Caenorhabditis elegans: one gene and its partner. The protein of the gene in region 2 interacts with the protein of the main gene of each other region in a pairwise test. Each region holds a gene or a part of one and is shown on either strand. Other genes may lie near its edges.

Region 1 (15,768 bases), 7.2 Mb from region 2:
TTTTTTTTTAATCCAAAATTAATATGAAAATGTAGATAAAGATTTGTTCCATTTCAAAATAATTTTTTTTTAATTTTTTTCAAATTTCTATCAGCAATTTCCAACTTTCAAACAATTTTTCACCGTTTAAAATAAAATATACTTTCAAGTTAAGCATTGAATTTTATCAAACTACGATTAGAGAACCCATTTTTAATCTAAAACTGATATAGAACTGTTGAAAAAGGTTCAATCAATCTAAAAATAATATTACGTTTTGCTTAAAAAAATTATTTGAAAAAGAAACACTGAAGAAGGTTGCGAATTGTCGTTAAATTTTCAGCAATTGGCGACTTTCAGGCACTATTTGAGGCTGTTTTCGAATTTTTTAACAACAAAAACATTTTTTCCTTTTTTTGGAACTATTTTTTACAATTCTATATAAATTTAAGATTTAAAAAAAGTTGGATTATCATATTGAAAGAGAAGTTATGTACGTTTGACAGAACATTTTCCACACAGCCTTGTTCTGGACATCCCCCCATTCTTAAAACTAAATTGTTTTTTCCTAGATCAAACATTTTAAAATTTTATTCTACATAGAAACAGGGCCGGGTGAGTCACAATGTATTTTTTCCCAAAACTGATCCAATATTTATCTATCTGACTCACCTTATTCGCAATCTTTTGCAACGGCTTCATACGATCCTGATCATAATAATCAACAAAACAGATTGTTGTGGGAATGATGAGTGATCGTGCAGCTTTTGATTGATCTTCTGCCGCCTTCGATTTTGCGTCGTTGAAGAGCTTTCGAAGGGTTTCCATCAGCGCCTTGTCCTGCTCTGACACTGTTCTCATTGAAGTGGCAAGGACCTGAAAAATATTATTGAGAATTTTCACAATTTTAGGGCAATTCTCACAGTAGTCAAATATTCGGTAACTTTTGGAAGTTGCTGCTTCACTTGGGTGTTCAAGGCTTCATAGTCTTTTTGGATTTCCGCAAAGTCTCGTTTCTGAAAATTATTTCTTGGTTTAAAGTCATTTCCACAATAAAAATTCGAAGTTGTACCCCAAGACCCTTCTCCTTTGTTCTCGACGCTTCATAATCCATTAATTTATCATTTCTCTTCTTTATAAGTCTCTTTGGAATACTCCTCAACGCCTTCACAATTTCATCACGTATCCGTACATTTGCCTCACTGGCCCATGTTTTGATTGCATGGTTGAATGGTTGCAGTTGAAGATCGATTTCACTGCTTGAGAGATGCTTTTTTCCTGGAGAGAAAATATTTGAATTTGATGTTATTTTGAAATGGAAAAAAAACAACTCACGAGGTTCGACAACTTTTTTATGCATCAATACTCTAGTCTCATGGAACATCTTTTTTCGATAAATAACCATCATATAATTGAATCGAACCAGACGACGTTCTGCGCTGTCCAGCTCACATACAAGGCGGTCAAAATCGGTATCTCGGAGCTGAAAAAATATTACTTTAAAATTGTAAGACAAAATCTGAAGCTCACCAATTTGACAACACCCAGTGATGATCCCATTCGATACGTAAACCGATTCGATTTCTTTTTCAACGAATGGAATGTCATTTTGGAAAGCATTTCTCCGAATGTTTGCTTGTCGTCGGACATGTATTTTTGAGCTGGAAATGTTAGAGTTAACTTTTCAAAATTTTTTTCAAAAAGTGTACGCACTGAGCTCTTTCCTTCTCTTCGACTCGTTCATTTTCTGCCCAAGATTCGACATTTGCTTGATGGCTTCTGTCAATTTTGGATGATCTGTGTGAACAAGTGGGGTGAGCTAAAAAATTTAATGAGTTAGGAATTTCTTAAAGGCCATTTTTTCTAAAACCTTGACAATTTCATTCAGGAAAAGCGGATATTTGGTGGCTCTTTGGATGGGTCTCGAAACGGCAGTTGGTCCGTCAATAACAACGGATCCACTTTCTCGCATACGTTTAACAATATCCTGAAGTGCTGATTCCATAGTTTTCTCATGTTTCTGAAATTCATATACTTTTAATTTTAACAACAGGTAAAAGCTTACCGCCGAGTTGGTAAGAGCATTGATATGCTCGATATTTCTAAAGTAAAAACCATAAGTTTGAGCAAATGGTTTTCGAAGTTGTAGGAAGCATGCACCGATTAGTTGAGCATCTTGTGGTTTGACTGAAAACATTTTAAAAAAATAAAATACTGAAAACTGGAATTTTAGCACTCACTCTGCTCATTGGTGAGAAGTTGGACAAGATTAGCCGAGAGCTGTACAATTTGAGCACATCCATTTTTCAGAATAACCTTTTGCTTTTGATTCAGGAGAGGAGTTCCGTCTACAGCCTGGAAATTATTTTTGATTGAAATGTGATGATTGAATAAATAATAAACAACACACATCGGTGTTAAAGCCATTTTAAGATAGTACTTAATATATTTTCTCAACAGGAGAAAAAATTGCTAAATGGCGAAAATTTCTGAAAAGATCAATTGCTGAAAGTAAATGAAAGTAAACGCCCAGACGTATTAGTGTCATAGACTTTTCGTCAGACTTTAAATGAAAATTTTGAAACAGTATAAAAATTTTTGAAGATAAAATTGTCGATTGCTGAAATGCCGTGCACCCCTGAACTATACCTCTGTATAGGAATTAATATCACTGATGAACTGTAGTTCCGAGCTTATCAACTCCTCAATGATTCTGCATCGTTTATCCTCATCATTTGATGCTCCTTCGGTGGCGGAAATCAGTCCAATTTCGAAGTCACTGCCAGCAGACTGGATCGCAGGGTTACTTGGTTTTGGAGTATCTGTCATTCCAAACATGTCAGCCACGTTGCCAATATCATTGATAGGTGATTGAATAGAACTTTGCTTAGGAGGTGGTGGTCGGGCTGGAGCTGAAGTCTTTGCTAGCTGAACTGGAGCAATCCATTCTTCGCCGAAGGTTGCCCAATTTTGGGCAGGTTTTGATGCAGGCGCTGCCGGTGGAACTGCTTCAAAGGTTGCCCAATCGGTGTTTGTTCTTCCAGCGGGTGGTCTCCAATCGGATGAGGATTCAGCATTTGAGATGAAGGAGGAACGATTGTTGGAGCTACCAAACTGAAAAAAAATAATTGATTTAACTATAAAAACCTATTTTCTTCAAGTCTCACCGTAAAATCGCTGGTCCCTCCAGTTCCACGCCTCATAGCATTTGAAGATTGATTATCGTCATCTTCTTCATCCAGATAAACTTCTAAAAATCCTACAGGTACAATTCCAGTCTTCTCTGTATCTGGATCCTTGCACATAACCCATTCATCATTGACCATTCGTAGTACTCGAACAGTGTCTCCAGCATTCACAGTCAGCTCATCTCCTTGACGACCGGAAAACGCGTGCCGAACATTCGCAAATCCGATTCCATCATTCTCGGTGGTCGTGCTTCGTCGGTTATTTTGAAGCGATGTAGTGTCATCGTCAGGTAGATCAACGATGATTTGAACGAAAGAAGTGGGGAATATTCCGACACGAGCAGATCCTATCGATCCTTCAAGCCATTCTGCATCGATTCGACGACGTAAGCTGATGATTTCGTCGGCAGAGAAAGAGAGCTCGTTTTCAAATTCGCCTCTGGAAAATATATAGATAAATTAGAATATTGAGAAGATTGAAATGAATTTTGAAACTGAATAAAAACACATTATTTATCCTACTTTGACGTGACAATATTTCACAATAAGATACAGTAGTACTGGCCAAAAAAGTATCCATTTTAAATGAGTATAACTCGAGAACTAGGAATGTTATTGAAAAATGCTCAGCCAACAAAAAATTACCTATAACTAGTTCTACTTGTTTTCATAGACCCAAAACAGTCATGACAAAAAATAAAGCGTCAGATATTTTGTGAGTCAAGATTATTACTGCAACTCAAAAACCACATTTTTAATGGAAAGTTTGTAAAAATAAATTAATCTTCATGTAATATTTTATTTCTTGCACGTGCTAACTTTTTTCTTTACAACGGCCATGATAAAATCATATTTTAGTTATGTATTTTAACCAATTTAATCCAAAAATTTGTGAAAAAATCGTTTAAAAAGGCGTAACACTTTTCCCGTTTCAACTGCCATATATATTTTTTCCTGACTTTTTGGTTTTTGATAGAGATGTGTTTAATGCAAATATTTGGCATATTTGAAAAGTGATTTAAATATTGATTTACTGTTACGCACTTTCTATTAAAAATTTGGTTTTCGAGCACAATTTAGTGATGATAGCATTAAAATTGGTAAAAATTAGCGAAATTATCAACGAAAAAAAACTGAAAGTGGGCACCACGTTGGAAGACAAATTTTTTAAATGTGTTTTTGAATTTGAAAAAAAAATTTCAATTCATTAAACGTAAAAACTCACTGAAAATCATAAACAGCTCTAGCGTACGGCGACACTGCATAATTCGAAGTTGCCGCTTTCGGAGCAGTGGCAGGCGTCCGAAATCGGACATCAGCCTCACTGAAATCCGTGGTGAATGACGGCTTCATCGGACTTTCAGCAGAAACATGCAAATTGACCAAATGTGCCTCCGGTAACAATCCACGGCGTCCTATTTGAACAGCGTTGTCATTCACCAGGAATCCGTCCAGATAACCAGGATTTGAACGCGACGGTTTTGCTACTGAAAATGTGATTGATTGATAAAATTGGTTAGTTAACTGATTGGTTGCAAAAATTAGAGAAATAAATTGTTGGAAAAAGTATATACCAAAGATTGAAAATTCTGCAAATGAGAGATCATCGGAGCGGATAGAGGTGTAAGCTTCAATTGAGCAATACACCTGCTCGTCAGGTTGTCTGCAAGAATATAGAAACAGTCTCAGATAAAATGAAATGCATATTGTTATTTCACAAAATTTTGCCATGCTATTTTAAAGGCACACGGGTTCATTCAGATAGGTCTCGGCGCGCGAATAAGTTTGTGGTAGTCTTTTTTTCGTGTTAAAAATTATTTCAGTGCTCAAAACACAGAGAAAATTTGTATTAAAATTTTTTTCTGTTTCTCGGTCAGCTAAAAATCATTTAAGTTAAAAGGAAATCGATAATCTTAAATTATAGAAAAAGAGTGTATTTGTACTTTGAAAACTGATATTTAAAAACAAAGCGGTGAAATTCGCATAATAAACGAAGAAACAATCGCAAAATTTTTTCGCGCCGAGACCCATCTAAATAAATCCGTGCGCCTTTAAGAAGGAATTTCAAAATCTTGTGAAACGACAATCTTTTAGAGAGAAAGCAAAAACCTTTTCGGGTCGACGATGGGCAATGTAAGAACTCTGGGAACCCGACCGGAAACCCCTTCGATGGTTTGAATGTGACACCTAGAAATGTTAAGATTTTATAAATTGGCACTGCCACGTGGCACTGACCAATCCCCCTCCTCACGGACCACCTTAACAATCTGATCTTGGGCTACAGAACACCGCGTTTCGGGATCTTGTGTGGCATTTGAAATTCTTACCCACGAGAGGTGGGCCATACTGCAAAATTTTGGAAAATTTGAGAAAAAAGTGTTCAGACGCAGACGGAGTTAGTCAAGCTTTTTTTTTGAAAATTACATCAAAAATTCAATTAAATTTCCAATTTTCGAATAGAACACTAGTTCCTATTGCAAAATGTTTATAGTTTCTATGGTGTTAGATTGGATTTCGTCAGTGAGACGAGAAACTAAACAATATTTTTATAAAATAAACAATTAGTAAGCGATAGACCAGCCAGAGACCAATTTTGTGAAATTTTCTTTTTTTCAAAAATTCCCAATTTTTAGCTAAAAACCCCAGTTGTAAAAAAAGGATTATTTCAATGAAAAGCCATCACAATTGAAACATGAAAAGTGCGTGTTGGGATATGAAAAATCGATATTCTCATCGAGAAGAAGACGTGCTGCTGCGACGTCGCCCGCCCCACCAGCCGAGAAATCGAAAGATGCAAGTTCGCTCTATCGTTCAACTACTTGTCATGTTTTGAGGAGACGCAACGGGATGAGGAGGGGGCAAGACACAACAAACACGCACACAAAAAAAAGCACTTGTGTGCACACAAAATTGAGGGAATTAAATCGAGGAAGAAAATGCCGAAAAAAACTGCAAAAAAAAACTAATAATGAGGAACCGAAAATGTCATCAATGAATACGAGTTTTTTGAAGAAAAAGGCTTTAAAATTGATGTAAATATTTTTATTTTTTTCGTAAACTGAACCCTAAATTGATAAACGGAAAAACTGATAAAAAGTTATGATGAAAAAAACAAACAGGAAAAAGAATTGTTTTTGTTTACAAAATATAGTTTAAATTTTAAATTCTCTGAGTTCGAAGAGGACTTTTTTTCAAAATCGTTTTGTCGCGCGGTCAGCCTTTGGTTTTGAGCGTTTCTGAGAAAAATTTGAGTAGATCACACGTAGATCATATTATATCTTCTTCTAATTTCACATTTAAATGTGCATTTCTATAGATTTTCCCTAAAATTTTGTGTGATCTACACTTGATCTGCCCTAAATTTTCACAGAAACACTTAAAAACTTGTTTTGTTTTCTCGTGAATAATATTTTTCTAATCAAAATTTTAATATAAAGGAACCAAATAAACATGAGGATTTTCAATTAAACAAATCTTTTGAAACAGTAATTTTTCCCGGTGAACAAAATTGCAGTAACCAAGTTTAAAAATTCCATATTTTTTCACAATTTCCAAGTAAACAAAAACTAAATTTTTAAACAAATAATTTTTATTATAAGCACATAAAATATGAAATCCTGGCTACAATTGGTGGAATATTGTCATAGTTTCCTCCATTTTCGATCCAGCGGTTCGTTACAAGCCTGGAATTTAATTGCTTTTTATTTTAAAAATAAAAATCACTTACTTCAAAATTTTCCCATCACAACTATTCCCAGAATAAGTAGTTTCTTCTGTTGATACTGCTAGGAGGAGTACAGTTTTTGGGATGGGAAAAGTTCCATGGTCCGCAAAGGCATGGAGCACTAAAACTGCATCCCATGCAAGAAGATCAATATTTGTCAGGACTGCTGTTCTAGGTGTCATTTGTGATGCGAGAGCTAAAGTGGTAAGTGAAATAAATTTCAAGAGATTTTCGGAAAAATACATTTACAACTATATAACGTAAGTGTCAAAAATGCCCAAAATTAATGAACTTGGTGAAACAGTTAAAAAAAAACTAACCATTGTTCAATATTGCATGTAGCTCTCCTCTTTCAAGTTGATTTCCAATTTCAATTGGTAAATTATTTGAATTTGTCTCTGATTTAGAATTTTGAATTGCCTTGTTTAATTTTTCAGAAAACTCATTAGCTTTCAAACCAGCAATAACTATGACAAGCGGAGCATGTTCATCTGGATGTAAAAACATTTGTTCACCAATTAATCTCAAAAGATTCCGATTTTCTTTTGAAATATCTGAGAAATCCGAATTGACAAAGGATCTTACTGATTCTATGTAGTTTTGGTAGGGGTTTCGATCCTGTAAATAAGCAAATTTATTTGTCGAAAGGAACAAAGTTATGTGGAAAAATCAAACCTGGTTTGGTTCATTTTGAAGCATTGAAAAAGTTCCTTGAGATATAAAAAAAAGTGCAGAGAGCAAAAGAATCAGCAGTGTCATTATTAAATTATTCGAGATTTCCCACTTTCTTGAAAATGTCTTTGATAATGTTTTGATCATATATTTTCTGTCGAATTGAACGGCATCTGAAGTAGCATGTATATTGTTAATAGTTACATTTCTGGACTTTTAGGGGAAAAAACTCACGGCTTTTTTCGGCAATGCACAAATTGCAAATTACATTTCCACCAGCAAGAACAATTTCCGTGTTTGACCAAATTTTCAAAGTGCAGAATTGGCATTGCGAATAATCTGGAAATCGTTACATTTCTGAATAGAAAACTACGGATTACATTGTAGGTAGATTTTTAGATAGGCCTTACCTACAGCAGGCGTTACGTTTTTTGCTATCTTTTTTGTGTACATATTGCTACCTATTTTAGAATCTAATTTTGCATAAGTTTACAATTTTTTAATTTATTCTAAATTTGCCTAAAAAATTAAAGAAAACAAAATTTTTTGGCGTTCTACAAACTTTAAAAACTCACACTGAGTTTTCTTGTTGAATTCCATTCCCATCGTTCCACTATTTTTCCGCGGAGTCATCTGAGGATGATAATGATATTTAAAAAAAAGAAAAACATGCATAAATTAACAAATTAATAAGTATTTGGAACTTCAAACCACTTAAAGCCTTAGAGAACACCGAACCATAAAAAATATTGAACACAAATTTATCAACATCTTGAAACAGGAGAAAATACTTTCACAACTCATCATTAAACTCTTTCTTCGAATTGAGTGAGAATCCCATCTTGGAAATTTCGAGATCAGTCTTTGCATTCACACGTTTACATCCTGACGAGGAAAATATTTTGCTAGATTCAGGGAAAAATTCAAGAGAATCAAGAACTCTTTGCATGAATTCTCCATCCTTTGCCAAATCATGTCTTCCGCGTTTTCGAAGATGTACTTGAATGCACTGGGAAACGTAGAACTTAGATAAGGGAAGAAATGGTATAAAATGATCAATAAGTTGATTAGAGATCATATCAGTGTTACGAAGACCACCTTCTTCATTGAATGCAGAAAGCATCAGTGTTCGTTCAAAATGCTTCAACTCGAGTTGTGATCTTATTTTACCATTTTCATGATGTTCTAATGCGATATTAGCAATTTCTTTGCTCCCTTTGTTGCTTAGAAAAATGAAGATAGTTTTCCGAAAGTCCACTCCAAAGACCGCCGGATAATAATCAAGAAATGGTTTGATCACTTGAATCAATTCACTTTGTAGCTTATCCGTCTCATCAAATATAAAAATAGATCGCTGACATCTTCGGGCCGATCTTATAAGTTGATCTTTCAGTTCCAATTTATAATCCTCAATATACTTTTTATTCGGAAAATTATTTGTTGCAACGAAATAATTCACAAATGGGCTGTGCATTCCACTTCTAAAACATAAACTTGTTTCTCAAAAAAATTTTAAGCAATGAAAAGTTACCGATAAGTATTGTTCACAATAATTTCAGTCACATAATTCTTTCCAGTGCCGGTTCCGCCGTGAAATGAGAGAACTAGCGGCTTCTGAGAATGCTCATTGTGCCAATGAGATTTGATTGAATGAACTACAGATTCTGCCATCAAGTGCTGCCCGAAAATTTTATTATCGAAATCTTTGTATAACGCTGAAATGTAAAGTTTAGAAAAATATTTAAAAAATAAACGGTTTTTCTTTCAAAAGTATCAAAAAAAAAAGTGCGAAAAATGCTCCTTATCACGGAGCACAACTCAAAATTTGTATATAGCTGTGTTTTACATTAGAAACAATTTGCATGGTGTTCTGAATTTTGACTGAATTTCTTAAAATATTGCTACTCACCATGATAATTGAATATATCCGTTTCACCGCAGCAAGTGTAAAATAAACATTTTAAAAACATTGGCATTGATAAGCTGTGGACATCGACGACTAATTGATTAAGAATGATAACGAAAATAATATATTTAAAAAATTGCATCTTTCTTTCAGAATAAAACAAAATATTTGACAAGTGAGAAGTAAAGGAAAATGAAATGGAACAGAAGATGTCGCTTGTTATCTGCGTATTCTTGCTAACATCAAAATATCCATGAGAAATCACACCGAAAAATAGATTGATGCACTGATAACGAAATTTGAAGATAAAGAAACATTGAACATAGAATTTAAATTTCAATAGAAACCATTTTTCAGCGAACTTTTTCATTTCAAAAGGGCTGATTTTATTCAAAAACATTTTTGTACCAATTCAATTTTATTTTGAGCAGTTACTACAGTTCAAGCTTAATGCAAAGATAATAAAAACTAATTAACTTATGAAAGGTGGAGTACCTGGTGGAGGTAAAAGTATCTGGTTCAAAATCATTTTCTACTCGCAAAATTAAATAATAAAATGAATACAATAAAAACGTAGTTATGGACAATTTGAAACAGGGGAAATATTTACAACTCATCATTGAGTTCATTCAATTTTGTAAATGTTGCTAAATCAACAAAAAAATTAAACACTTAGAATGAAAACAAATTTCTGGACATTTTGAAACAGAAAAAAAACTACAACTCATCATTAAACTCTTTCTCCGAATTGAGTGAGAATCCCATCTTGGAAATTTCTAGTTCAGTTTTTGCATCTACACGTTTACATCCTGACGAGGAAAATACCTTGCTAGATTCAGGGAAAAATTCAAGAGAATCGAGAACTCTTTGCATGAATTCTCCATCCTTTGCCAAATCATGTCTTCCGCGTTTTCGAAGATGTACTTGAATGCACTGGGAAACGTAGAACTTAGATAAGGGAAGAAATGGGATATAATGATCAATAAGCTGATTAGAGATCAATTCAGTGTTTCGTAGACCACCTTTCTCATTGAATGCATGTGACATAAGTGTTCGTTCAAAATGCTTCAACTCGAGTTGTGACCGTTTTTTAAGATTTCGACGATGTTCCAATGCAATGTTCGCAATTTCAGAGCTTCCTTTGTTGCTTAGAAAAATGAAGGTAGTTTTTCGAAAGTCAACTTCAAAAACGGCTGGATAAAAATCAAGAAAAGGTTTGATTGTTTGAACCAGTTCACTTTGTAATTTATCCACCTCATCAAACACGAAAATGGATCGATCACATCCGTCGGCAGATTGTATTAGTTGTTCTTTTAGTTTCAATTTATAATCCTCTATATGTTTGTTGTTTGGAAAATCCTTTGTTGCAACAAAATACTTCACATATGGGCTTTGAAGTCCACTTCTGAAACACTAATGCATTTTTTTCAGAAAGTATGCAAAATCTTGAACAATTACCGAAAAGTGTTTTTTGCGATGATTTCAGTCACATAGTTCTTTCCAGTACCCGGCCCACCATGAAATGAGAGAACTAACGGTTTCTGAGGATGCTCATTATGCCAGTGAGATTTGATTGAACGAACCACAGTATCTATTACCAAATGCTGGCCATAAATAAATCTAGAAAGATCTCTGTGTAGCTCTGAAATGGGAAACTATAACAAGTACTAACTCAAAAAGGGAGTTCTTTCAAATTTTCAATACAGATTTTCTTTTGGCTTTTTTTTACAAAAGTACAAACTGTCTCATTCAAGCTTAAAAGGTGCGTAAATATTTTAAGTATTCACTTTTTCCACCGGAAGAGTCTAATTTGTTCAAATTGTATCTTATACTCACTAAGATAATCGAATATATCCGTTTCAAAACAGCATGTGCAAAATAACCATTTTAAAAACATTGGCAGTGATAAACTGCCGATTGGAAAAAGAATCAACAATAAAACATAAATTCTCATCACAAAAATGCAAAAATAGGTCAGAAATAATTTTGATGTATGTAACATAAACTGTGAAATTGTTGGAATTTTAATCCCACAAACAATTGGAAAGGGATTACTGGTGAGCAGATTTGTGCGAAATCAAATGACCATTCAAATTATGAATTGCGTTTGTAATAGATTCTATAGGTAACTGAAAGCATGTTTTTATAATGTGCAATCAATTATAATTAAATTTTCTGAAGCACAGTTTCCTAGGATGAAAAAACAATTGAAAAAAAGTAAACTGTACGATGTTGACAATGAACACGCCATTAGATTCAGTAATTAACGAATTCAATAAATGTTTTGAAAATGATTTGTGGAGGAATTCGATGAATGGGTCGATTAATCAATGAAATTACTTATAAAATCGAGAAAAGCTATCTATAAAAGTAGCAGAGTTTTTTTTTGTTGAAAAAGTAAAACTGTATGTTATTTATGTTCCATATGTGCTTGATCCAAGGAAGTGCCGCAACCTTTTGCTCTGGAAGTTTCTGATTTTTCAAATGTTGTTAAAACACTGTTAAAGATACTATTGTGACGTCAGAATTTCCTAAGATAATATATACCTAGTCCATTTTCTGTAGAGCAAAGAAAGAAGAGATTCCAATTATTTTTAAGATTCCAATTAGTTCTATTTTTTGTGACTCGCGTGTTTTTTGGTGCCTGAAAAACTATTTTTTTTGATAACGCGGCTAAGCACAGAATGGGACAGACTTAATCTTCCAATATTTTCATAACTATATGAAACATACAAGTTTTGGAAATATAAAAAGCTATAGAATTAAAAATAAACAAATTATCAGAAAGGTGTCAAATTGCAATTACAATTACCAGTTTTTTTACGGAGAAAAAATTTGCTCGACTAAAAATGGTGTTTCAATTCCAATTTTCAGCTTTTCAATTTTCAATAAAAATTTTTTAAAAGCCAAAACAAAGACGGCAGTAGAAAGATTTTTCTGGGTACGATAAATGAACCATTAGAAACAATAGAAAAAAGTTCCACATTTATCAATGTTTGCAGAATATTCTCGATAAACATGAATGTTTCAAAGCCATACAAGAGAAATCTGAAACAAAATTTTAATTGACGTATACTATGGGAAAATTGTATTCAAAAATGTGAATATGGAAAAATACTTCGACACAGCGAAACAAACTTTTTATATCAAATTTAACAGTTACAAATGGCTGAAAAACGCTGCCTGAAGCGCATATTTAGGAGACCTTCCGAAAAAATGTTTTCCAGCTTTGACAGATGTTTCAGAAAAAACAAGTTTTCATATCTCTCTGGGAACTAAAACAAGAGTAGCTAGCAAGTTAACCGGTTTAAAATTTAATCTTGCAATTTTAATCAGTAATTTTATCAAAAAAAATCCAAAAATAATTATATTATTTCAAATAGTTGTGATCTTTCAATTACTCTTTAGAAATTTAGAAACAGTTTGTTATTGTACCGAAAAGTGACTTACTAAAAATTTTTCATTTAAACAATTATTACAAAAGTACTGATGAACAGATTTATAGGAAATCAAATTACCATTCAAAAAAAAAAAGAATTTAGTTTGTAATCGATTCCAAAGGTAGTGTAGATATTTTTTTGAGAACAACAAATAAACAATTAGAAACAGTAAAAAAAATTGAAAATACTCACATTTATCAATGTAAGCGGAAAATTCCTGATAACAAGCATGTTTTAAAATTATATAGTGTGATTCTCAAACAAAAATGTAATTTATTGATTTATTTACAGCATAATTTTATTTTGAATTTTAATGGGGAAATATATTCAAAAACTGTAAATATGGGAGGATACTGTGAAATAACAATTTATACACAACTCATTTGTCAAATAAGAAAAATGTTCAGAAAATAACTTTAAAAAAAACGCTGCCTTTGGTACCTAAAATGCCTAATCCACAACAAACTGAATATTACTAAACTCCTAATATTTTCAAAATACATAACACGAATGTGTTATGTATTCTAAAAATTAAGATTTGATTCCAATTCCCAGTTTTTCAATTTTAATCAAATTGTGGAGACGCCAAAAAGATAAGTAGAGTAGATTTATGCAAGGAGCAATAAATAAACAATTAGAGTAAGTAGAAAGTGTTTAATGATCCACACATTCAACATCACCATATTTCATGAAAAATTGTTTAAATCACACAATGTTTTATTCAAATATTGAAACAGAAGTTTTTTTTAAATCTAAAAAAATTTGCACTGTTTCAAACAGTTGTGAAATTCCAACTACGCTTACAAGTTTGTTCTAATGCAGAAATTTTGTTCACTAAAAATTTATATTAATTCCAATTTCTAAATTATCAACTTCCAATTAGTAACCTCAAAAGGCTAGAAAATAAAAAACAATTGGTTACTTGGCTCAAATGACTTAAATTTATTCTGCAATGTTTTTTGTGCTCTCTTGGTGCCTGGAAAATTAAATGAAAGCAAAGCTAGCTATTATTTATCTTCCAATGTTTTCAAAACTATATAAAACATAAAAATTTTAAAAACAGTTACGAAAATAATTTTAAAAAATCACTGTTTCGCACAGTTGTTAAATTTCAAATGCGCTCACAAGTTGTATTGGACTATTGAGAGTTGTATTCAAAAAATTAAGATATAATTCCAGCTTCCAGTTTTTTAATTTTCAATCAATGCAATGTTTGGAAGACACCAAAGAGATAAGTGGAGTAGATAGATTTATTTTAGGAAAAATAAATAAAATATTAGAATAAGTAGAAAATGTTTCAATTATCAATATTTTATATGTTTTAAGGATATAAAAAATGATTCAAATGTTTTTTGTTTTGTTGTGAGACCCTCCCATGATGTTCCAGAACGAAAGTTTACCGGTTTTTGGTAGATTTACAGACCGGAAACTTTTCATAGTCGTCGTCTTTCTCAAAAAACTAATTTGGGTTTCTATAACATCACACTACTTAATAAAATTGTTTTAATCACACATTGTTTTATTCGAAAATTGAAACAGAAAATTTTTTAAAAATCTAAAAAATTTTGCACTTTTTCAGAACGTTGTCAAATTGCAATTCCACTTAACAGTTGTGCTATATAAGGAAGTACCTGCTTTTAATTTCAACTATTTCTACCTGATCAAACATGATATTTGAATTCCAATTTCAATTTTCAGTTTAGTACCTCAAGAGTTAGATCAAGCTGTCAAAAAGTGATCGATTGTGAGCCAATGAGAAATAGAGATAAATTGGTCAACCACCAAAATCTTTTCTTTTTTCATGTGGTTTTCATTTTGCATCTCATTTCTGTTTTTCATCTACATCTAAACATTTTCATTCTTCTCATTCCGTCACCCCATTCTGTTCCCGGAATCATGGAATCAAAAACTGCAATTTTCGAAAAGTAAGTTGGCCTTTTTGTGGGAAAATGACCGGGTTGTGCTTTTTTTCTGTTGCAAAGAGAAATTTGAATCTTTTTCGAGGGTCAAGAACATGTGATTTGCTTAATGGAAATTGGGTACAAAGATGTCTCAAATGGACATTTACAAGAATAAAATTCCTTTTTTTTCAATACTTTAGGAAATTGAAATTTTTTTATTTCATGTTTCAAAGTGTGGTTTTATGCATGGAAAATTGAAAAGCGTACTGACTTTTTTAGCCTTTTATTTAAATTTTTCTATATGTAAATTGACTTGGAATATATTTTTAAATCAAGTTTTCTACATTTCTAATTTTTATTTAGTGCAATTTGGAAAAATGGAAATTTACAAGAATAAAATTATTTTTTTTCAATACTTTAGAAAATTGAAAATTTCGTTACTTCATGTTTCATTGTGTGGTTTTTAGTAGGAAGAAATGAAACGCATAATGATATTCCTATTGACATGGACTCACTTTCTAGTTGCAAATTTGTAACTTAATTTGTAATAAGTCCAATAAAATTTGCCAGAAATTTATAAAAATCGTTGTTTTTTGAAGTTAATCTGCCGCTCATAGGCAACATACAAATTTTTCAACTTTTGAGAGAATTGGCTGAAAATGAATTTTCTTGGAACGCTGCCAAAACATCTATCGCATTGGAAGAATAGTTGATTGCCCGTAAAATATGTGAATGTTTTATAAAACATTGCACAGTTGATTAGAAATTACGAAAAGCTGTTAAATACGCTCAGATGGAATTTTTTTTCCCTTAAATGATAATTTTCGCAATTTTTTCCATTTAATGGAGATGCAAATTGAACGCGCCTGTATCATCCTTCTCTCTCCCATCAATATGCAATTTAGGCGCGCGGAACCCGTGAGATGTCGGCGGCCTGATATTGGTTTAGGTCAAAATT
Region 2 (16,236 bases):
TGTACGGTTGATGGTTTGCCATTGATTTTTCGCGGCTGGATCTTTAGAGCATAATCTTTATGGTTTTTTGAAACTGAGAATATGGGGCCAAATGATCCTTGGCCAACCCTGCCGGTGATTGTGTAGCCATTAAATCTGGAAAAGAATTTTAATTTTGTTGATTTTCAACTATTCATTTCTTCTACCAGCCGTTCGCACGCGCAAAGCGCGCAAAGCGCGTGCTCCGACTGGTGTACGCTGAACTGTTTTACTTTTAAAATTGTGAAGTGATAAGCTTTATGTACAGTCACACATTTTCCTGGAGTATTGCGGACTTTACAGAAAGTTCTATACGTTTCCTATGTTTCCAGAAGTTTCTAGATTTTCTAGAAAATTCTAGAAAATTCCTGATTATTCTAGAAGTTTACAGATTTTTCTAGAAAATTCTAAAAGTTTCCTGATTTTTCCAGATGTTCCTAGCCTTTCTTGAAAATTCCAGATTTTTCTAGGAAGTTGTTTTCTGAGAGCATTTGAATTTCCAGCGAAAAACTTTTCTCAAAATTTGAATTTCCCGCCTAAAATTTTTCTCAGAAAATTTGAAGTTCGCGCCAAAAACTTTTCTCATAAAATTTGAATTCCCGCCAGTATTTTTTCTCAGGAAATTTGAATTTCCCGCCAAAAACGTTTCTCATAAAATCTGAATTCCCCCCCCCCCCCTAAAACATTTTTCAGAAAGCCAAGATGAATAATTCCATTGAACTTTTTTTGAAGATTTCAGAATTTTCTCGATTTTTTCAGAAGCTTCCGGAAGGATTTTTTCAGATTTTTTTCAAAGATTTTTAGAAGCTTCCGGAAGGAGAGTAACTGATTTTTCCTAAATCTACAGTGTCTCTTCCGTACTCCTACAGTACCCCTAATATATATTTTTCTTAAACTACAGTAATCTTACAGTACTCCTAGAGTACCCCTACAGTACTACTACAGTACCCCAGCCATATCCCTACACTAACCCCAACTCACTATCCCTCCAGAAGCGAAAACTTCACAGACTACAGACTACATAGACTACAAACTATGGACACACAGAATAAGCGATTTATATATAGTCAATGATGATTATAAGGTATCCTCGTTTTGACTACGTTTGAAAATCCTAGGTCTTAATTCATTCTAATCCTTTTCTAGATTTGAGGCACCACCGATTCGGAAAACCTTTGACAACTGGATATACAGAAAGGGTAACCATTGTGGACGGAGCAAAAACCATGAAAAAGTTGCAAACATGGGCGTTTTTTGACATTTTTCGGATATTTTAATGAAATTAAATCGAAAATCCATGATTTTACGTTTTTTTTTTTAATTAAGAAAACAGTAAAATATACTCAATCATATATTTTTGACAGATACAATTTTGGAACAGCATTCAAACGTTGAACATTATACACAATTACTTGCAAACTTTTTTGAACTTTCCAACAAAAAAGCTCTAGTCAAATTTTTGATGCATAAAATAAACTAGGGAGATTATTAGAGAACGGTTTTATCCTAGTCTGTGCATCAAACATTTCCTAAATTTGAAGAAGTACAATCTCTTCAGAAATGGGGCAAATTGCGACTAAGTGCGGTAAAGTGCTACGAAAAGCTGCAAGGTGCGGCAAAGTGCTGCGAGGCGCCGCAAGGTGCTGCAAAGTACGGGGTAGAACTATAGTTAGCCCTATAGGGCTAATGTGAAAAAGGCCAATATGCTGTTGAAAGCAGGCAGAATGCTGGAGAAAGCTGGGACGACTTGCCGAGAAGGGGAGCGAAAAAGTCGGTGGGACCTCCTGGATTCCTCAATAGGGCTTCCATATAGTCGCCAAAACGCAAAATTCAGAAAAGCGGCGAGAGGCAAGCTGGATTCACGCAGGCCTTGAAACCGCGCAGGCCTTGAAACCGCGCATGCCTACCATGGAAAACAAGTTCCTAAATCACTTACATATCATTGGCGTAAAGGGAATAGGCGTCTTTTTCCGAGTCGGCCATTGAGTTTGAAAATATTTGAAATAAACTTTAAAATCCACACTGGTTTTGTTTTTTCACTCACGCGTAGAGTTTCTGATAAAAAGCAAAAAAGTAAACGAGCAAAAGTTTACGTACAGTGTCGGCCAAAAGTATATGCGTTTTGTGTTTTTAAGTGATTTTTCAAAATTTTCAAACAAGTATAACTCTGAAACTATACGTTTCGGCAAAAAAAGTTAAACTAACAAAATGTTGCTCTCAATGTTGTCTACACGATCACGTATTTATTAGGATTGTAGAATAAGTAGTTCAAGAACTAGACGTTTTCATGAAAAAAGTTTTAGTAATAAAATGAACCACATTGAATAGTACATTGTTTTCATATAACCATTTTGTCTACAAATGGTCAGCATTTCAGATATTAGCGTTCGAAATAACCTACTGATAGTCAAGATTAAACATGTTTCATAAAGATGGTGGAAAAAATTTTTTCCACATTGTTTTTTAGTTCAACTGTAAATTAAATTTCATTGCCATATTGGTTACTTAAGATACATATATAAAAAATGATTTTTGAAAAACGTATCCCACTTTTTGAACATATGCGCAAAACGAGCACTTGGGAGACGCCAGTTTGAACGTTAATATCTGAAATGCTGATCATTTGTAGACAAAATGGTTATATGAAAACAATGTACTATTCAATGTGGTTCATTTTATTACTAAAACTTTTTTCATGAAAACGTCTAGTTATTGAACTACAAGCGTTTTACGAAAAGTCGTCAAAAATTGACTCGCGAGATGTCGGGCGCTGTATCTATTGACATGGTTATTCTATAATCCTAATAAATACGTGATCGTGTAGACAACATTAAGAGCAACATTTTGTTAGTCTAACTTTTCTTCCCGAAACGTATAGTTTCAGAGTTATACTGGTTTGAAAATTTTGAAAAATCACTGAAAAACACAAAACGCATATACTTTTGGCCGACACTGTATTTACAAGAAACTTTGACATTTTTACTTTTTCCAGTTTGTAAAACGTGTTCACAGTAATAGTGGTAGGGGAAGAAATGATTGGACCATCTGGAATAAAAGGTCCTTTGGTTATTGCAAGGATGAAGCAGCAAAGTTTGATTTTTTCTAATATGTCAATTAAAAATAGTTTTTAGTTATTGTTAAACGTGGACTGTCCCTTGTGGGGGTTTTGCTTTCCCAATGTGACTTTCTAGGAACGGATTGGTGCGCATCCCTTTTCACTATTTTCAATTTTTGTAATCAGAAATCTTTCCAGTTACATGAGAAGCAATACGTTTAATACATTTCACAGCTACGATCTTGGACTTCACTCAATTAATAAATTGTGCAATAGAGAAAAGAAGAAATATACAATTGAATACTTTATGGGTTTAACGGAACGAATAAAGCTTTGTATGCTTCACTTTTTGTTTAATCAAAAGTTTTTATAAAATTGATGCGTTAAGATTTTTGAAAAAGTTAATTTGAATTCAGATGTTAATTTTTTATGTTTTGAAAACTTACTAATTTTGCGTATATTTTTATCAGTATGTTTGGAAGCTACTGGATTTTTGAATGACCCATTCCGGAAGACAATGGTCATTGGGGGATCGGGTCTCTAAACCCTATTAAGACGGAAATTAGATTATTCCATCTTAATAGAGTTAAACAAACATTGGTTTCAGAATCTGAAAATTATTATACAGTGCATTTTTTTTGTTACTTCTACGACTTTAAAGGCGCGCGCATTTATACAAAATGGTCCCGTCATTGGTCTCGCCACGCGCTCAACAAATCAATGGGATTCGCGTGGCGAGACCATTGCGCGAAAATGCGCGCGCCTTTAAAGTCGTAGAAGTAACAAAAAAAATGCACTGTAGCACTCTCCCAGAGATAATTTTGAAATGTTCAAAAGTAGTGACTGCATTTCAGTTTAGAATTTTCAGACTATCAAATAAACTGTTAATGGTGGTGTAGTCGATTTTTTTATTGCTTTATTAGACTCAAAATCGTCTGAAAACGCCGACTTTCACAATGAAACTTCTTGAAAACTTTTCAGAAATAAGTTATGACGGGTCAAAAAAATGGCCTAAAATTAGCTAAAATCGGAAATTTGACTGACGTGTCAATGTAGCAGCGGCTCGAAACAATTTTCTTTTAATCATCGTTAAACTTTGAGTATACAAGTTGATTATATTGCGTTTTAAATTTGATTAAGGTATTTAAAGTCGATGGACAGCGAGTTTAGGTTTTAAAAAAAATCTCACCGTCCATCGACTTTTAAATACCTTAATCTAGTTTAAAACGCAAGATAATGAACTTGTATACTCAAAATTTGACGGCGATTTCAAAAAAAAAAGTTTTCAGACAATTTTGAGTCTATTAAGGCAATAAAAAATTCGACTACATCACCTTTAATTGAGAACGTTTTTCTGTCAGAAACTCTCAGAATTCCAATTTGTTAGGTGAAAATTATTGCGTTTTGATTCAAATTAAAGTATTAAGGAGCATTGTGCGACGAGCCGAGTTAGCTTGTATAACAAAGTCACTAAATTGTTGCAAGTACGCAGAGCCAGTGAGAATCTTGAAAAGCCTCTTGAGAAACAATATACCTCATATGCTCGCTTTCATGATTTATTTTTATTGCAAATTTAACAAGTTTCTAATCAGTTTGAATATAAAGATCAACTGTATCATATTCTGGAGTTCTGTAAGTTCCTGCATCAAGTGCTGACACTTTTTGAATAATCAATAGATTCTTCTTCTTGTTGTATGTAGTTTTTGGTTCTACCTTCTTTTTTGTCTGAAGCTTTAGATTTTTTTCGAAAAATATGAAATTAATTACCTTAACGTTCTCCCAAAAACCACATTTTGTCTTATTCTTTCCATTACAAACTCTGAAAACGTGTTCTTGACCGACTCCTTTTGCATTCTTCACAAATCTCGTAATGTTTTTTGGATTGTAATATCCGATTTCCACTCGATCTCCAGGCTGAAAATGTGAAACCGATAATTTTTATTTTGCAAGCCTCATCAATTTTGAACATTAAAATTAATTTTGGAAAAGGGAAATTGGTGTCGTAAAATCGTAAAATTACTTTTGGAAATTAAGAATGTTTCCTACAACTTTTAATCTACATGCCTTTACAAACACTTGTCTGCATGGCATGGAATTTGAGTTAATTGTAGAGAGAAATAAAACAATCAATACACAAGATACAGTAATAATTCGAATCATTTCTGAATGACTAAATGAACTTTCTTTCCGTATCTTGTACTTTTATATAAGTCTCGGAAGTAAACAAGGGCAATCCTTCAACAAACTATTTTTTATTTGTTTGGAATTAGTCTGATCTTTCCATCTTTTAAAATCGTGCTTTTTGAGAGGAATCTTGTTATTTTGATCATAGCTTCTCAGTGCTTTTCGGGTTTCGAATCAGAATTTAAATGGTGAAAATGGAATTAGATTGCCACAGAATATTTCGATTTGCAGCAGCGACAGTGAATATGAAGAACTCTACAATGTATTAGTTTTTTAAGTCAAAGTTTTGGAAAAGTGCTAATTTAAAGACAAATTAGACGTTTTTTAAAGTAATTTCGAGCAATGATGTGAACTGAATCTCAATATGTATTGTTCAAATAATGATACGTAATTACAAATACCATAAAATATATAAACCTGGAGGAAAACCATGGTTTTTTGTCTACAAAAATATTCTTATTGTCAACAAAAAAAATATATGCTTTGATATTTGGCCATTGTTAACCTATGATCCTTAGGACCCTATCAGTAATTTTAAGCACTTTCCCCACTGCTGATATGATTGTTTTGCAAAGCTTTGACACACAAGTTTAAAGGCACACGCAGTTTTTGAATAGGTCTCGCCACGCTCAATCTCATAACGGTCGTAACATGTGCCAAATTGTAGAGTTGTGGTTATTTGGTGCAGAAAATTAAGTTTATAAAGGTTACGAATTCCAAAAAAAAAAGAAATTTCCTTCACAGGGAAAACTGCGATTGATTAAAAATGTAGCACATAATTTCAAGTTTCACCTAAATGACGGTGTCCTAATTTCAAACAAACCTTCGCCATAATCATTCTCCATGGCATTGAGTCGGAGTCGACTTGAACAATCAATGCAATAAGAGCAATGGCTACAAGTAAAACTCGAACCATTATGATCGCAACAATTGAATGAATAAACTTTCGCCCCGTGCAACATTTATAGGTTGGCGTGGGAAGGCGGAAATGAACAAGGAAGAGATTATACAAAAAAGTGTGAAAATTGCAATTTACTAGACTATAATCCTCATGAATAAACTATTCGTTCATTGAAATTAATCCGAACTTTTCAACGTTGTAGATCGTTTCTTTTTGCAATAGACCAAAATTATATTAATTTTTTATGTAGCATGAAAAGAAAAAAAACCAAAAATTATGACAATATGTTCTGGAATCAATGGAATTATATCACAATTACACTCGAAAATATGATATCATTAAAATTCATCTTCATCCGTTTCGACTGATTCGTCTAGATTCGGATTTCTTCCACGCCGACGGCCACGTTGCAAAACTTCCTCATCCGAAGATTCAGATTCAGATTCAGGTTCCGAATCCTCGTTTTGAATTCTTGAAGTGTCTGTAGAAAGGCTTTTCTGATCTTCTTCTGGTATTGTTGATTGATCGGAATCTTTAGATTCATCTTCATCCTCTATTTCAACTAATTTCTGAGCCAATTGAGTTCTAGTGAGTGGATATTGAATTCTTTGAAGACAATGAAAATATCCAAAAGCATCAGAATCCTTGATTTTCTCATCACAATTTGCGCATAGAAGCCATTCGCAAATTGATGTTACTTCATCTTCAGTTTGGTCTTCAATACCGCGAAGGAGTTTAGGTGCACAGAGTAAAAGTGCCAGAATATGAAGAAGATGTGGAACATCTGCCAGTTTTTTTGATTCCTCCTTATAATCATCCAAAGTTTTCAGGAGACTTCGGTAGGCCGTACACCAAATAGTTTTGACATACTCTACGGCTCGTTGTTCAAGTTCAGTTCCGTCCTCTGAAAAATTTTAATGTTAATGAAAACAAAATAAAATTTAAAAATAACCAACCGAGATGTTTATATACAGACATTAGAGGAACAATCATTTCTTTTGAAGTTGCAGCTTCTTCTCCAATTTTTTGTAGGTGCACAGAAGAATCTTCGATTTCTAGAAGCTGAAATCTGTAACCCTTGTATACTCATCTTTCTGAATTAAACTCACGAAATGAATTCTTCCTAGGCAGGATAAATATAGATCTTTAATAGGCATTGGTCTTGAAATATCTGAAAACAGACATATTTTGATATCTAGGTTTTCAATGAAAATCCTACAGTACCTCGATTTGCAAAATTTTTGAAAATATTCGTTAAGCCACCAGAAGCAGTTGGGAATTCCATAGTGGCATGAAGAGCTCGTGTATGAAAATAGACACTTTCCAGGTTTTTTGCACTGAAAATTGTAAACTTTTTCCTGAAATCTATGGAATTTTGAATATTACCCAAGTGAAGATATCAATCCTAGCTGATTCCAGACAGCTCCATCAGCTGGATTAATGCGGCATGATTGCTCGTAATATTCCTGAGCTTTTGGGTAGTTCTCCTGAAAATAAATGTTATATGATTTTTCTAAAATACTACCCAAACGACACCCTTCGCTCTTTAGAATTTTTTGGTATCGAAAAATTAAAAATTTCGGGTTTTTTTTCGATTTTTCTTTTGGTCCATGTTGGATCAACTTCGAAAAACGAAAAACAAATTTTGACATCATTGTTTCCAAAATTATGAAAAAATTTCAAAACTACCTTATATCTCATTAAATCTCCCATTCTTAACAGAACATAAGCCATGAACACTCGACTATTCTTTTTCGACTTGATAGGTTTTCTGTTTAGAAATACATCTGGTGTCCATGTTAATTGTTTTGAGATATCGTTTCCATAATTTGGAATTTCATAATGATAATGAACAAGAAGTGATAAATCAGTCAAAAATCCAATTGCAAGATTTTGAACATTATGATTAACAAGTCGATCATTTTCCATTGCTTTTGTTATTTCATCCATCATTGATTTCAGTTTATTCCAGAATTTTACATCGAATCTTTTGGATACAGCAGTTTCGAAGTCAGCGACAAACATTTTCATTAAATGCTGGAATTATTCTCATTTCGATAAATCAACACCTCTCAATCTTACTCTCAAATACTGTGGTGCAGCTTCGGTGCCACGTGGAATTTTTCTCAACTCTACAGTAAGCTGTTCCCATTCGTCCGACATCCTGTGGAATCCTCTGGAACAAAATTGTTTTGTTTTTTTTTCAAATTTTAAAATATTAATCTGAAATCCTACACTTTTTCTAGCCACTCAAAAGAAGAAACAGGAAGTCAGGCGAAAAATTATTTTATCTTCAACTTTTTTTGTTTGCAAAAATTAAATGATTCAAATAACCCGGTTCAGAAAAGGAATGGGGATGCTGCATTTTGAAATTAAAATAAATGGAAGTTTCAAAATGTGTTCGAAATGACAAAAACAAAACGGATAGGCATTGGATTCTATATAATTCTATACATACAGAGAATCTTTGGGATGTTTGGAAACGGAAATGGGGTGGGAACATTGAAAACTTATCAAAAGAAACGTTTTCAATAAAAAGCATTATAGTTGGAAAAGAAAAAGTTCTACCGGTTTAGCCGAAACAAAAATATGAAAATTATCACAATTTCACATGGGGGAACGATTGCAGGCGGACTTAGACTGGAAAGAAAGTATTTTGGTGGGATTTTTAAGTTTTGGAGGAAACGGTGAATACGGGGTTAAAATAATAATAATAATATCGGGATGGGTGATGAGGGGGTGAATAATAGAACAGGATTCAATGTGACGAGAAATGATTAGTAAAATAACGATGGGCGAGATTATTCTTCGACTGGAAGTTTTTTGGTTAGTGTACACATGGGGTAGGGAAAATCACTGGGAAGAATAGAAAAAAGAGAGAAAATAAAGGTACATATTCGGGGAGAGACGAGAAAATCAACTAAAAAGTTGCAGTGTCCCTTGATTTTCAAAAAAAAAAACAAAATAAAACTAAATGAGACCATAGACATTGTAGTATGCCTTCTTGTTAGCAGCGGCCGCTGCTGCTGCTGATTGTGGGGTTTTTGCAGTTGCAGGTGGAATATATGACCAGGAAAGCATTTGGCTTCTCATTACAGCATCCATCACCGAATATTGCGAGTCTAAGTGAAGAACATTCGGAGCTGATTGAGAACGAGTCAATTTTGGAAGAATTATGTCGCGAAGTCGTTCGAGAACCTGAAAAATTGGAATTCATTCATTAAAATTTATTTAAAAATCAAACTACAATATTTTTTTGGATTTTTCAGTGTAGTGGAGTTATTCATGAGCGAAAAAAATGTTTTTAAAAAATACATCGATTTCTTAAAAGCATGTTTTTATCCATTTTTCGACAGCGTCAAAGAGTGAAAAATCAAAGGAAGCCACCATATTTAGACAAAACTGCCAATTTTAAATGTGAAAAAAAAGAGCGAAAATGTGTGAAGTACTGGAAGAAAATAAATTCCGAATTGTCCTCGCGGTGTACACGGGGAGAACGCCCAGCTCGTAAATTTACACAACTTTTGAAGAGACATAGTCATATGAAAACGTATGGTCTCGCCGCATGGCGGCTTACTGTAGTTTTTCGCTCGTCGACGCTGTCGAAACATGTACAAAGTACAAAAAATCGATTTTTTAAAAGTTTTTTGACACTCATGAATAACCCCATAATAAATCATAGTTCTACCAAATTTCTAAAGTCGGTATTTCCCACTCACCTCTCCAAATACTGGCCGCTCATTTCTATCGAACATAATGCAATTGTCATATAATTTGAGCATGCTCTTCGGCGTATCATGTCGAATTTTCGATCTATCCGGCCTCAAATACCCTCTTCCAACCATAAACAATATCTGATCTCGATTATTAATGTTGGAGTATGGTAGATGCGAAGATAGAATTTCGTACATGCATATTCCAAAAGAATACACATCAGACTGTGGGGTATATGGATTATCATCTTGCATTCTGATGACTTCAGGTGCCATCCAGAGAATACTTCCTGTTGGTTGTTGTTGCTGTTGACCTCCGTTCACTGTCCATTTCGTTTTGACAGTTGCCAAGCCGAAATCTCCAATTTTTACCGTTGACATGTCATCCATAAGGAATATATTGTTCGTTTTCAAGTCACTGAAATGTTTTAAACATTTAAACATAAATTATAGATATGGTCAGTTACCGATGAATAATATTTTTTGAATGTAAATAATTCATTCCAAGAGACACTTGCTTCAGTATATCAATGATAGCACCCATTTCAAATTCGACGCGTGGCTCTGAAAATTATTAAATTATAAGAATTAAAATCTCAGTTCAGATCACCTTGAACATGAATATGTCTATACAAACTCGATCCTTCACACCATTGAGTAATAATTGCAATTTCTGGTTCTCGAACCCATCCCATAAACAGCAAAACATTCAAATGACGTGTTTTCTTTAAAACTGCAACTTCATTTTTAAAGGCTGCCATTTGAGAAGGCGTCGGATCAACAACATTCAGCTTTTTTATAGCAACAGTTCCGAAGAATTCTCCACGATAGACGGTACCGAAGGATCCCGAACCAACTTTGTATTGAATCTAAAAGAATGCTTGTTTTAATAGTTTTGACAGAAGTTTTGAGCGTTTTTTTATTGCTTCAACTGTAAAAAAAAAAGCTATTTTCAGATAAATAAAATGTTTTTTTTCTATATTCGATCACTGAATTTAAATGAAAAAAATTAGGATAACATGCTCCTTTTGTAGAACTGCCGGTTTGCAAAAGCCGTGCACCCTTGCTGATGTAGAATAAACTTACAATAAATTCATTCGGCAATATTTCCCAATCCTCATGATGTGGTTTCTGTGGCGGCCTGGGTCGTTGTGCATCAAGTCGTTCGCCTGGCGATCGACTACGATTTCGGAAGAAACCAGGTGAAATCTAAACATTTTTAATTGAAGAAAAATAGATTTTTTTGAATTCTACCTTCTGAGGAGGTGCTGATTGTGGTGGTGTTAATGGGAGAGTATGCAAATGAGCGGCTACTAATGATGACGTCGTTGATCCTGATACATTCGGGGATTGTCCAAGAGTAGGTTGTCCGATTAAGCCACCTGGAGGTGATGAACATGTAGATGAAGGAGAATTCGAGCCAAGAGGAGTACAGTCAACAAGTGGGTGAAGACGATTCATTCGAGCTCCTGAATAATTGAGAATAAGTGAAATTAAAATAATTAGAGTCGTTTGGGAAATTCTTGAAGGTGGAATAGAGTAAAAATTGTTTTTATAACTTTAGAAAAACGTCTTAAATTTGGAATTTTGTTTTTCTTCCCTGACCTTTTGACGAATCGTTATGTTTTCTGTTTTCGATTACCTGACAAAATATGTCCACTCTGGAAATGAGGTCGATGACGTGCTTGTGTTGAAAGTAACGATCCAGTTTTATCTCGTGATTCTTCTTCTAATCGCTGAGCTTCCAATGCATCAAGAATTCTTTGCTGAAAATAATACATTTTAGACTTTTTCTTTTAAAATTGGTGACTATTACATTATGTTGAACTGTTGCCTCATCATTAATCGCATTGATATTCGGAGCAGAAGAGCTCCGATCCCGTGGATAAGGTCCGGATGGAGATAATTGAGATGTTTCATTCTGTGGAGAAACAGCCATTGGATGTCTTTTGACACCACCCGTTCGTTTAATACTCGTCAAATCTGGATGAGAACTGTCTGGTGTGGCAGCTGGACTTTGTCCACTCGTTGGAGCTAGATTAGCAAGAACTATTTCGGCAACTGATCTATCTGGGCCTTCGACTTGTGATGCGATCCCAAAGAGTTCTTTCACTAGCTGAAAATTAAATGTTTTAGATAAGAATTGTTTCTGAAGCAGAGGTGAGCAATTACGCCATGTTGTTCCAACATTTTTCATTAAAAATCAGTGTAAAAAATATATAGAACCACCTTAATTATCTAATGATAACTTTTAATTATGTTTAAACATCTATGAAAATGCACAAAAATGACCTAGAAGTTGCGAATTGCCTATGGCAAATGGCCATTATTGTGCATTTTCACAGATCTTTAAACATAATTAAAAGTTGTCATTAGATAAATAATGTGGTTTTCTATATTTCGACGTTAATGACAAATGTTGGGACAACATTGGTAATTTTGTAATATTGCCGCCCGCCTTTGTTCTGAACGCACATCTTCATTTTTCGGTACAGATTGTAACAAATCGCAATAAAGTGGTGCAAACGATGAGCATCTTTGATGAAATTTGAATTGACAAAATTCACATCGAAATCCCATCATCCAGATAGGATTATTGCATACATCACATGATTTCGGTGGAATAAACGTTCTTCGAACAATTGCATGTTTAATCGATGAGACTGTATTCAGATATTCTGAATGAACCCATAATTCATTTCCAGGCAGTCGGGATGCGATCTCTTCCATTGTCAGCTGAAAATATTCAAAAATAAGAATTATGCTGTTAGATTCCAGTAAATCACACCGATAATTCAATAGATTCTTGTTTTGGGTCAGATGACGCGTTCACGTGACATAATTGAGGTGTGATATTCCGTTTTTTGAGCAATTTCGAAATGGCATCCCGCGCGGTTTCACCGGGACGAACCTGAACAAAATGTGCTTATTTTCTTCGTTTCACAGTGAATTTTTTGCTTACTTCAACCCTAGAATGTTGATCAAATGGCAAATGAACCATAATCATTTTGTATTTGAATTTTGGCGGTTCCTTGTCACTTGTTCCTGCTCCTCCAGCGGAATGATGTCCAGATAACGAATGAAGACTATCACTGTGCTTTGGATAAAGAGGAGTTGAAGGACTTGCCATCGGCGAAGCTTGATCCTGAAAATAATTATGAGTTACATATAAATATTTAATTGATAATCTTTGGAATGAGAAGTGGACGCTTGATTCTGAATTGAATAGATTAACACGATTCCCCACAAGTAACATGTAATTAGTGTTAAAAAATTCAAGACAAAGGATTCGTTGCTAATTTTCTACCTTCCGATCAATAGATGAAGAAGCACATCTCGGCAGACTTATAAGCCGCGGAGATGGGCAATGTGGGCTCGTCGGGGTGGTCGACGCCGATGACTTTTTGAAATTAATCCGACTCATTCGGCGGCGTGTCGACGATGATGATGGCGTTTGAGATGATGTGACAGGTGACTTCTAAATTGCTGTTAGTGATTACATGTAATTAAAAAACAAAAGGACAATTTGGACGAGTAAAACATTAAACACGGACTTTTAAAGGACATTTGAGAAATCAGAACAAGCAATAAGTAAATTACTTTTCAGATGCTCTATTTTATTATTGTGAAGCACTTTTTAAAACAATCTGAACAAATAAATGTTTCCCTTTAGCATTTTTCACTTTCATTTTATTTGTGGAAAACGTTCGAAAACACACCGTTTCGCGAGAGCATTCCATGTGAAAATTGCAGTTAATTCCAAAATAAAATAAACCAGAAAATCAATATATTCGCAGATAGAAGGTCAACAAAAGAAAGAGAGCGGCGGTAAGGGGCGCAAAGATGATTTTTTTCTTTTCCGAGAAGAGTACACGGAGGGAGTTAGTCCGCGGGCCGAACACACTTTTCTCTTCCATTTTCGCGCAGAAGATTTTAACCCAGATTTTGCAGGGTTTATTAGAATTTTCAAATAATAAGGACAGCGTTGCGCTCGGTTATATGAATTTATGTAGATGGAGTGAAGCTTTAAATAAATCTATTATTAATGGAAATATGGAATACGTTTATTTTCATTAGTTGATAAATTAACTTTTCAAATCTACAGTAACTCGATAGCTGAAAAGAAAAGTTAAAACTTGTATTGAAAAAGATGTTACGAATGAAACGTGGGATTCCCATGTTCAAAAAAGGAATCACGAATGTTCAATTTGCTGGCCAATTAAACAATTGTGTTCGCAAAGTTTTAAATGCAATCGTGTATTTTCTCAATACAGAAGCCCCGCGGGTTGCTTCATAAAGTCATTTGATTATTCAAATATCACTATGATTTCACAGAGTGTACCCTATTGATTTAAATCAGTTTTCAACTTACTGGTGCCGATTTCCGACGATTCCAGCCTCCATGAAAGTGACAAACTGAATACAGTACAGCCATTGCAGACATTTTAAAATGTTATGTGATCAATTATGGAATATAATTATCTCCAGATAACTTTAGAAGAATTTCAGAAAGTAAAAATATATTGTTAACAGGGGCCCCTTTGGATCCAATGGTTCTCTTCACACACAAAAAAAGAGAGGCGGGGTTTGTTTTCGCCATCTATTTTTTCTCACTGGTTTCTGTGCTCTGATCGAGAGAGATAGAAAAAGAGAGCAAAGAAAAAGAAACGTGTAAATCGGGAGCGACACGTGCCACGAATAGGTTGACAATGTTTTCAGCGTTGGGTCTTAACACGAAACAGATGACCTTAGTTTGTGAAGAGAGCAGCAAGTTGATTTGAAGAAACAAGGTCATACGTGACAAAACACAAACTAGAAAAGAATATATTCGAAAAAAACCACTAATCAAATTATAAAAGAAGGAACTAGATGACATTTGGTTAATAAGCTACTTCTAGTTAGTACACCCCGAATTAGCTGTGAAAGTTGAAAAAACGGGAAAAGTTTATCTGAAACTGACAGACTAGACAAATGTCTGTGACATATTGCAACTAAGATTTTGCAGAATGTGGACATTTTTGAGAAAAAAGGGATTACATGACTCAACTGATTACCTTTACGTTATGGTAATTTTCAAATTTTCTGAAAAGTGAACTGATCTGTTAAGATTGGTCTTGCCACGAAAAAATAGTTCATTCTAGGATTTAGAAAAATTTGGTATCATTTGCTTCCTTGGAATCAACTTAACTTAAGTATTACTTATCAACTTATTATCTTAACATTTGTCAACTTTACCACTTTTAAACAGTTATTTTGAAACTAAATTTTCGAAAGTTGGAAAGCAGAATAAAAGCAGCTGGCATCACGGAGATTAAAACATATGTCTTAATGTGTTTTCTCGCGACGAGACCCATCTGAGTTGATACATGTTTTGAGGAATAAGCGTGAGTCTAAAAATCTATTTTGAAAAATCTATGAAAAAAATCCAAATTCTACGAATAAAAATCAATGGGATCGCGCATCAAATGTGTTTTGTTCGTTCCGCCTCTTCATTCCACTCTATTCTCATCTTTTTCCGCCAATTTCCACTTGAAAAGTGCGAACAATTCCTCAAAAAAGAAACAAAATACACTATATTCCACATCAAAGAGGTCATTTTTCTATCAAATATTTGTTTTGGTTTATCAAAAAGATTGAGGTTCTAAAGATTATTATTAAAAGTTTTAAATAAACAAACTACGAAAGCATTATTTTGATCTAATGTTGACTATACAAAACTTTTTCAAATTTCTTTGATCACTAGAATTTCAAAAAAAAACCTATTTCAGTATAATTGTAGTTCGCAAAATAACAATTATTTTCATTTTAATGTGAGATATCGTAGTTCTTAATATAGATTTTCAACAGAAATTCAGAAATTTGGCTTCATCGAAATTAACTTTGAATCGTACATTGGGACGTCCTGTCTTCAGAAATTTTCAGCCGACATGCTCAAACGAGCTCCAAAAAAGTTTAAAAGTATCTATTGCAAGGTTTTCGCCAGCTTTAGAAATTAACACCAAATCTACCTCTACAGTTAAAAGTTTAAGAGCATTGGACATTTCAAATTGAACGCTATTCAAAGATTATAATCAAAGATTATAATCGAAAAATCGATTTTTCGATTTTAAACTAGATCCCTTGAAACAGTGAAAAAATTTCTATGTTTAGTCGCTCAAAAACCTCTTCATACTCTGTGTGCTCGTTGTACTCAAAGTTTGTCTTTTTACTACATTTTGTATAGTTCGATTGCTTTTCCTTCCTCCTTTCCATCTTTCCCTTCTTGCTCTTTTGCTCCTTCTGGTCACCAAAAACATCATGATCATTGATTTTCTCAGCTTCTCTGAGTATCTTGAACTCTACTGATCTTAAATCAGTTCGGTGCA

The links.
Region 1: the proteins of smg-7 (region 2) and gei-18 interact in a two-hybrid assay, tested with the Caenorhabditis elegans proteins (one study listed by BioGRID).

Annotation. Positions count from the first base shown.
Region 1 is NC_003282.8:13,974,328-13,990,095, forward strand, and holds gei-18 (GEX Interacting protein), read right to left. Parts: upstream 8,199-15,768; 5' UTR 8,197-8,198; coding exon 8,139-8,196; intron 7,903-8,138; coding exon 7,798-7,902; intron 7,737-7,797; coding exon 7,567-7,736; intron 7,510-7,566; coding exon 7,212-7,509; intron 7,150-7,211; exon of another isoform or gene 7,129-7,149; intron 7,088-7,128; coding exon 6,895-7,087; intron 6,851-6,894; coding exon 6,760-6,850; 3' UTR 6,735-6,759; downstream 1-6,734. Other genes in the region: dnbp-1 (SH3 domain-containing GRB2-like protein), read right to left, coding at 652-855, 903-995, 1,052-1,257, 1,315-1,462, 1,510-1,640, 1,693-1,798, 1,850-1,999, 2,045-2,166 and 7 more; tor-2 (Torsin), read right to left, coding at 8,357-9,044, 9,095-9,278, 9,473-9,533; tor-1 (Torsin), read right to left, coding at 10,187-10,874, 10,928-11,111, 11,306-11,366; egl-23 (Potassium channel domain-containing protein), read left to right, coding at 14,806-14,834.
Region 2 is NC_003282.8:6,734,110-6,750,345, forward strand, and holds smg-7 (DNA/RNA-binding domain-containing protein), read right to left. Parts: upstream 8,335-16,236; 5' UTR 8,322-8,334; coding exon 8,241-8,321; intron 8,196-8,240; coding exon 7,848-8,195; intron 7,646-7,847; coding exon 7,545-7,645; intron 7,496-7,544; coding exon 7,383-7,495; intron 7,330-7,382; coding exon 7,268-7,329; intron 7,221-7,267; coding exon 7,115-7,220; intron 7,063-7,114; coding exon 6,497-7,062; 3' UTR 6,422-6,496; downstream 1-6,421. Other genes in the region: Y73B6A.3 (TransThyretin-Related family domain), read right to left, coding at 4,658-4,798, 4,841-4,987, 6,081-6,173; lin-45 (Raf homolog serine/threonine-protein kinase), read right to left, coding at 9,129-9,356, 9,878-10,289, 10,339-10,435, 10,482-10,740, 10,958-11,080, 11,126-11,340, 11,514-11,637, 11,688-11,987 and 5 more.